Arabidopsis thaliana: one gene and its partner. The protein of the gene in region 2 interacts with the protein of the main gene of each other region in a pairwise test. Each region holds a gene or a part of one and is shown on either strand. Other genes may lie near its edges.

Region 1 (3,757 bases), 3.4 Mb from region 2:
AGATACAAGGAGTTGCATTTTAACTTTGTCCTCGTCTTCATCATTAATTTTCTCTTGAAGTAGAAGAACAGCTTCAACCGCCATAGACTTCAAATCATCAGGAGACTCTGTAGCAGTGACAGTGATAACACAGTCATCATCATGATTTGTCCTCGAGTCATTAACTTCGATATGAGACCCGCTTGCTTGTCTTATTCCCTTAATGGTTAATCCTCCTTTCCCGATAACACGACCAATTTTGGAAGAAGAGCAAATAACTTTTATAGCCAACTTTTCTGATCTGGAAGACCCACCAAAACCATGAACAACAGGAAGAGCAGAAGCAGAAAAAACCGGCACAGGATTTGCAGCATTTTCTCCATAACCCTGAGGTAGTGTACCGATAAACGATGAAACATTAGCCCCATGTTGGAAAATAGAATCCTGACTTGGGTATAAACCGGCTTGTGGATAGATAGACAGATCAGAGGGAATTATAATACTAGCGGGAACTTCTTGGACAGTTGTATCCAGAGGAATCTGTTCTCGAGGACTGACTTTGTACATGATTGCAGAAACAGCGAAAAGTGCCTTCTTCACGGATTCAGTCTCACCAGATATCTAAATAAATAAGAATAAGAAACATCGATTAAAATAAGCAAAGAAACATATGCTAACAAATTCTACTGGAATTCTGATACTAACCATAACAATGTTGTCAAAATCCATGGCACAAGTGTGAGAAGGATCAGAAACATCTTTAGAGACAACCTTAACGTTAGCTCTAGTTCTACCTCTAATGTTCTTAATAATCGAACCAGATTTACCAATGACAATAGAACACTGACTAGACGGAACTAAAAGACGACATTCTCTAAAGTCATCTCTATCAATCTTAGTGTTCTCAGCAGCAGTAGCTAAAGAAGCCACAATAGCATCATGGACTTTAAGAAGAGCAGCTTGAGCAGAACACAAAGGAACAGAGTAATCCAATTCACTATACTCAATGTCAACAATGTCTTTCTTCTCCGAAACCGAGCAAAAGATCGTTATGACTCTTTCGCTACAACCTGGAAAAGGATCAACAACTTTGATCCTAGCTCTAGTTTCTTGCCTAATCAAGTTAATAACTTTGCCACTTTTGCCTATAACACTTCCCATGACACCACTTGGGCATAAGATTCTGTAAACAACAACGAGATCGTCTTTGTTATCGATCTTTTTTTCTTCGGATTCGTAAGAAAGTCTTCTCCTTTGATTCCGGTTGTTGTCATTGTTGTTGTCTCTGAAACGATTGTGAGTCCTCTTCCCACGCTCAACCATTGTTGTCTGTTTTGCAAATTACACAACCCTAAAACAGAGAGACAAAAGAAGTACAATTGATCAAAAGCAGAAGCAATGTATTCTATCGATAGAGAAATCTGAGAGGAACCCTAAAAAAAAAAGAGAGAAATTTGAGAATTGGGTGGATAAGAAAAAACTGAAAGAAACGATTTTTATGATTCAATTTGAAAATTCGTTAATTGGATTATCAATTCAAGCGATGAACATACATACAAGGTGATAGAAAATTCTAAGAGAACTTCAATGAACAGCGAGAGGCCTCTCGGGAGAGAAGAAAGAAGAAACTTTTGTTCTAAATTGTGTTAGAGAGAGAAAGAGAAAGAGAAAGATTTGTGATTGTCTGATGCAGAGTAGAGAGAGAGAGAGAGATGACGGCGATGTGTTAAAAGAGATTTTTACTTTGATTGATCTCTTTCGGTTATATATAGTTAACAATAATATAATATGAAGAAAGTCCCTAACTTTTGTTTAGATTTGGTGTTTAGCCCATTTTCTCAGAAACAATATTGTTAAACCTAAAATCTACTTTTAAGTTTTAAGGCTTAAACGGTTAAACTTGTTTAAATATTTATTGATTAATTACGTTTAGATTTTGATTCTGCAAAAAAAAGTACTTCGTTTCACATGTTATTTCGTATAAATTAATACTTTATACTTATCTCGTATACTTTAAACTTGTCTTCGTGTACCGGTTTCATACTATAATAAGTAAAATAACTATGTAATAAAACTAATTTAATTTTTTTTCCACCAAAAAAAAATTAGTTTAAATTTTAATCGCGTAAACAACATATCACATAACAGTGATTGGGTTATGGGTATTTACAAATTTTTTTTATTTCGTTGAGACTAAAACGACGTCCTTTTAGTCACTTTTACTCCTAAAATTCTTAAAATCCATTTGTTCTCCTTAAATCTTCGATTGCTCTCAAAATCTTAATTTAAAAACGAAGCCGAAACAACGATTCTCGAAAAGATCAACGAATTCGTACGAATGATCATTAATAATAATCGACTCGAGATTGACTTCATTTGCAGCATGTGTTGAGAGTGTAGGGATTAGAAGTGGTGCTGGACTATCTTTAGACGTTCCTACACGTTGGAATTCAACTTATGATATGCTTGTCAGAACTTTAAAGTTTCGTAAGGCATTTGCTAGTTTGAAAGAGTGTGACAGAAACTATATATCATTTCCTTCTAAGTATGAGTGGGATCTTGGAGAGAGAATTTGTGACCTTTTGAAGTCGTTTAGTACCATCACTGCCTACTTCTCAAGTGTCAAATATCCTACAACTAATGTGTATTTTCTGCAAGTGGAAAATTGAGTGTCTTTTGAAGGACTACGCAAACTATGGTGATTTTGGAGTGGAATAGATAGTTAGTAAGATGTAGTTAAAGTTTGATAAGTATTGGGATCAATACAGTATCATTCTAGCTATGAGAGCTATTCTAGATCCAAGGTTGAAGATGCAGATTCTTAAATCAGCTTATAATAAGATGGATTCGAGTAGTTCAGAAGAAAAGGTCAATGTTGTTGTGAAGAGTTTGAAGGATCTTTGCAAAGAACACATGGAAAAGGCTTAAACTTCTTCCACCTTCTCAACAACACACACTCCACATGAACTTCTTTCAGTTTAGGCATTGTTCTAAAATACTTTGTACGTTAGTCGTACGGTAGAGTACCATATAGCGTATAGACAGTGACTAACTGATATTATTAGTTCTTTAAAATTTTCACTCTACATGGAGTATAATAATTGATGTAAATATTTTTTAACATTAACATGAATTAGTAATAAATCGATGCAAATTATATGCATCTCTACTTTAAAGTCACTTATTTAAGTGATGCAATTTTTTTTTACATCATCTATAACTAATGCAAAATATATAAGAAATGATGTAAGACAATCTTTTTTTTTTGTATTGGGTGGATATTTTTTTTTGTTTAAAAAATTATATATATAGATAAAAACTTTTTGTCAAGATATGCATATGTAATTTCAAAATTATAATAAATTAAAACATAAGTATAATAATCATGATGACTACTATACATGAATATAATAATCATTTGTCAAGTTAAAAAATTTCACTTTTCTAAAATATTTTTAATTTTTTAAGAAAACTACTAAGCATGAAAATAATTAAAAACAGAGACCATATTTATGCATGTAGAAGAATAATACTCTTATCAACATTGTCCACCAGGTCCTCCAAACGTAAGAGTCTCTCTGGAATCATAATCTACATACTTGAGAAACATTACACCATAACACTTACGACTATCCACATACTGTTCTACCTCGTTGGCATTAATATCCACAACTGAATAATCCGAAAGAACATATTTAAGCTGTTTCATGAAACAAGACCGACTCAAATCTTTTGTCGGAAACTCTCCAGTTCCCATTGGTGGGCTTGTCGTCGGTTG
Region 2 (3,757 bases):
CTAAAGGTAATAACACGAGACGAAGCACAACACAGTTCGATCATAGAAGAGGATAGAATGAAGCATAAATATGAATATAAAAGATTCATAAGAACCGAAGAAAACTGTTTCTCTAGCGGTTACCATAGTATGGAGGACGAGACATGTTGTTCTGAGGTTGATATGACTGTGATTGCTCTCTCGGTCTTGCATACTCTGCGAATATGACCCAACCGTCAAGAAACTGCAGAGAAGCACAGAGAGGAGATTAGCCGTTTGGTAATTGTCAGTGTAAATCTCTCTTAATAGATTATGATATGGTAATCGAGAAATGGATATTAGAATGAATAGTACCTTCCCGTCCATTCCAGCTATGCCTTTGGCAGAATCTTCTAAAGTGGCATATCTAACAAATCCAAACCCTTTGGAATATCCTGATACTCTGTCTGTGACAACCTTAGCTACAAAACCAATAGAAGAGAAAGGAATCATAACAGTTAGTTTTCTTCACGATGACTAGTTTACTGCGCATAAACTTTATAGTGTCGTTATAAGATACGCACCATCAGCAACTTCTCCAAACTGAGCAAAAGCAGTCCTTAGTCCTTCAGAAGTGGTGCGCTTACTAAGCCCTGAAATATTCAGTGACACAAAGATAAAGATAACATGAGAAGAAGACACTTTCACGAAACTGAGACACAGCATCGAACACATAAAATTCCTTAGATGTATGTATGAGATGTTCAATGGCCATGTGATAAAAGTGAGAAACAGAGGCTATGAAGGAACAATAAGTAATAGCCTAATCAAAATTGCTTGCATCAAAGCCCAATGTTGAGCAGTATTTCAAAAACTAATTGATACTAGGAAGCACTTTACAAAAACAGAAGCCTTGAAGATGTTAGAAACAGCCCACATAGACCCTTGAAACAAGACACTGATCCGGTACACATAGCATCCAAATTTTAACCGAAAAAACCGAATTCTCAAGTAATTGAGTGCAAAGAAACTCTCTTTAACTCTTACAGTTCATTCCTAGAGTTAAGCAATCGAAAGTAGACATTTTTCTGGAAATCAGAACCAAAAATGAATAATTGAACTTATCAAATTCTTAAACACATAGAGTACAATCTTAGTTGATGTTAGACGAACCTGATAATCTAAATCTGAATTCAAAAAGGAAGGATCTTTAAAAAGCATCAAATAGAAACAGACATAGACTCTAACAACGATAAACCCTCGAAATGAATTGAGAGATGAAAAGGGTTTGTTACCGGAGACGAAGAGATTGGTGCTAGGTTCAGCCTGAGGACGAGCCGGTGTTTGGGATTCAGCTTGTGGAGACAAAAAAGAGAACCTTGAAGCATTTGAACAGAACAGTCGTCTCAAACCAACCGGAGCTGAAGCTACTTCCGTCACAGCTCTAGATATCGCTGGAAGTCTCATAGCCATCGCCATAGATTCAATTGATTGATTTGAGTCGTATTGATTCTTCTTCGGGAAAAAAAGGTTTTAACTTTGAAAAGCTAAAACCCTAAACCAAAAAAGCAGAGAACAAACAAAATCGATTGATACGAAAACGAGTAATTTACTAGAGTGAGAAGATGACCTAAAAAAAAAAAATACTGACATAAAATGACGGATATACCCTTGTATTACTTCAAAATTTCGGAATGGATGGACTAGTGATAGAAACTTTACAATTCTGATATTCGTAATTAATGGAATTCGCCAATGTGCAGCTCCAATTTTCGATTTTTTTTCATTGGCACGTAGAAACGTTTATGAGTCTTTAAATGGTTACCAAATTGTTTTTTGGACTATCACACAAAATACTTCAATATTTTATGAAATTTGACATAAAATTTCACTAAATGACCATTTTATTTTTTTAATGGCCACTTAAAATTTGTTTTGATTCTTCTAAAAATCCACCAAATGACCAGACGTCTTTTAAAATCTCTCAAAATCTAAAATCCACAAAATCTTACCTAAGTTCAATACACCCCTTTTTTTTTGTGATAAGTGTAAACACACAAAAAATAACATATATAAATGGATATGGATGCTAACATAAAAGTTCACATTATATTTATATATTAATTTATTAACTCATCTCAAAATAAAGTACATAATATATTATTCAATCTATGAATTTAATTTGATTATCATGTAATTTGGGGTTACAAATAACAAGACTATCAAGAAGAATATCTTTAAAAAAAAGACATAGGTAGTTAGGTGAATCAGTGTCACTCAGTAACAAACTTTTTTTTTATCTTAAGAGAGTAAACAACTTTAAAAAGTTTTTGGCACAAGTATAAGAAACGTGTGCAGTAAAAGTAGAGAGAACAAATGTCAAAACCAAAGAAAAGCCTTCAAAAGACGTGAGCTTTTGTTTTGCACTCTTCCTCTTTCTTCTTCAACTTTACAAATTAAAAACACACACACACCAAAACTCCATTTTCTTGCCTCCAAATCTTTCATTCACCATAAAATTCCATCCCCTTATCTCTCTCTTTCTCTCACTTTCTCTATTCATGCGACCCAAAAAATGGAATCTTTAATGAGACTCGTCTTAGTTCTGTTTCCGTTCTTCGTCGTCTTCTTCGTACCTCTTGATCACGTTTCTTCAGAATCTATCAGCAGAGCAAATTTTCCAGATGGATTTGTATTCGGAACAGCTTCTTCAGCTTACCAGGTGACATTCTTCTTCTTCTTCATCTTCTCCAAACTGATCCAACAAAGAAAGAACGAAGATTTTGACAATCGCAACATTTTCTTGCAAGAAATCAGTTCGAAGGAGCTGTGAAAGAAGGAAACAAAGGAGAAAGCATATGGGACACTTTCACGAAGGAGAAACCAGGTATCAAAGAAACAAACCCAGAAAACATCACGAAGGTTTTAGTTAACTCAATGGTATCGTTCTTGATCAACAGGAAAGATACTGGATTTCAGCAATGCGGATACTACGGTTGATCAATATCATAGGTTTCACGTAAGTTTTACCTAACAATTACAAATTTGTTGACTTAAGCTTGAAGATAAAAGTAGGGTTGCTTCTTGACAGAGCAACCTCATCCAAACAAATCTAAGATAAGACGCAACAGGACACAAATGAGAGAATCTAAGAAGCAAGAGCCTTTCTTTTGTTTTGTTGCTATCACAGAATGACATAGACCTGATGAAAGATCTGAGAATGGATGCTTACAGATTCTCTATATCTTGGTCAAGAATATTCCCTAGTAAGTCTATTTCATTCAGCTGTGATATGATGAGTAATGTTGTGCGTTTCGACGGGTCTATTTAAACTCTGGTTTTAACAGATGGAACAGGGGAAGTAAACCCAGATGGAGTTAAGTACTATAACAGCCTAATAGATGCTCTTTTAGCCAAAGGAATCAAACCTTATGTGACATTGTATCACTGGGATCTCCCACAAGCCTTAGAAGACAGATATGAAGGATGGCTAAGCAGAGAAGTGGTGTGAGTATATGATATTTTGATAAAAATGTGAAATCCTGATATGGTGAGATTATTACGAAATTAAAAAGCTAAATAAATGGTGCAGGGATGATTTTGAGCATTATGCATTCACCTGTTTCAAAGCATTTGGAGATAGAGTGAAGTACTGGATCACTTTCAATGAGCCTCATGGGGTATCGATCCAAGGCTATGACACAGGGATACAAGCTCCAGGAAGGTGCTCACTTCTGGGACATTGGTTCTGTAAGAAGGGGAAGTCATCGGTCGAACCGTATATTGTAGCTCATAACAT

The links. Proteins that work in one complex are often made in the same cells at the same time.
Region 1: the proteins of AT5G54580 (region 2) and AT5G46190 interact in a two-hybrid assay, tested with the Arabidopsis thaliana proteins (one large-scale study listed by BioGRID).

Annotation. Positions count from the first base shown.
Region 1 is NC_003076.8:18,724,533-18,728,289, forward strand, and holds the start of AT5G46190 (RNA-binding KH domain-containing protein), read right to left. Parts: upstream 1,718-3,757; 5' UTR 1,537-1,717; exon of another isoform or gene 1,533-1,536; intron 1,471-1,532; exon of another isoform or gene 1,331-1,470; 5' UTR 1,303-1,330; coding exon 685-1,302; intron 601-684; coding exon 1-600. Other genes in the region: AT5G46200 (carboxyl-terminal proteinase-like protein (DUF239)), read right to left, coding at 3,518-3,757.
Region 2 is NC_003076.8:22,169,012-22,172,768, reverse strand, and holds the start of AT5G54580 (RNA-binding (RRM/RBD/RNP motifs) family protein), read right to left. Parts: upstream 1,604-3,757; 5' UTR 1,438-1,603; coding exon 1,254-1,437; intron 612-1,253; coding exon 543-611; intron 441-542; coding exon 334-440; intron 224-333; coding exon 113-223; 3' UTR 1-112. Other genes in the region: BGLU41 (beta glucosidase 41), read left to right, coding at 2,534-2,680, 2,776-2,845, 2,919-2,977, 3,149-3,224, 3,306-3,465, 3,551-3,757. UniProt on the Arabidopsis thaliana protein: Involved in C-to-U editing of mitochondrial RNA. Functions as minor mitochondrial editing factor. Controls 6 percent of the mitochondrial editing sites.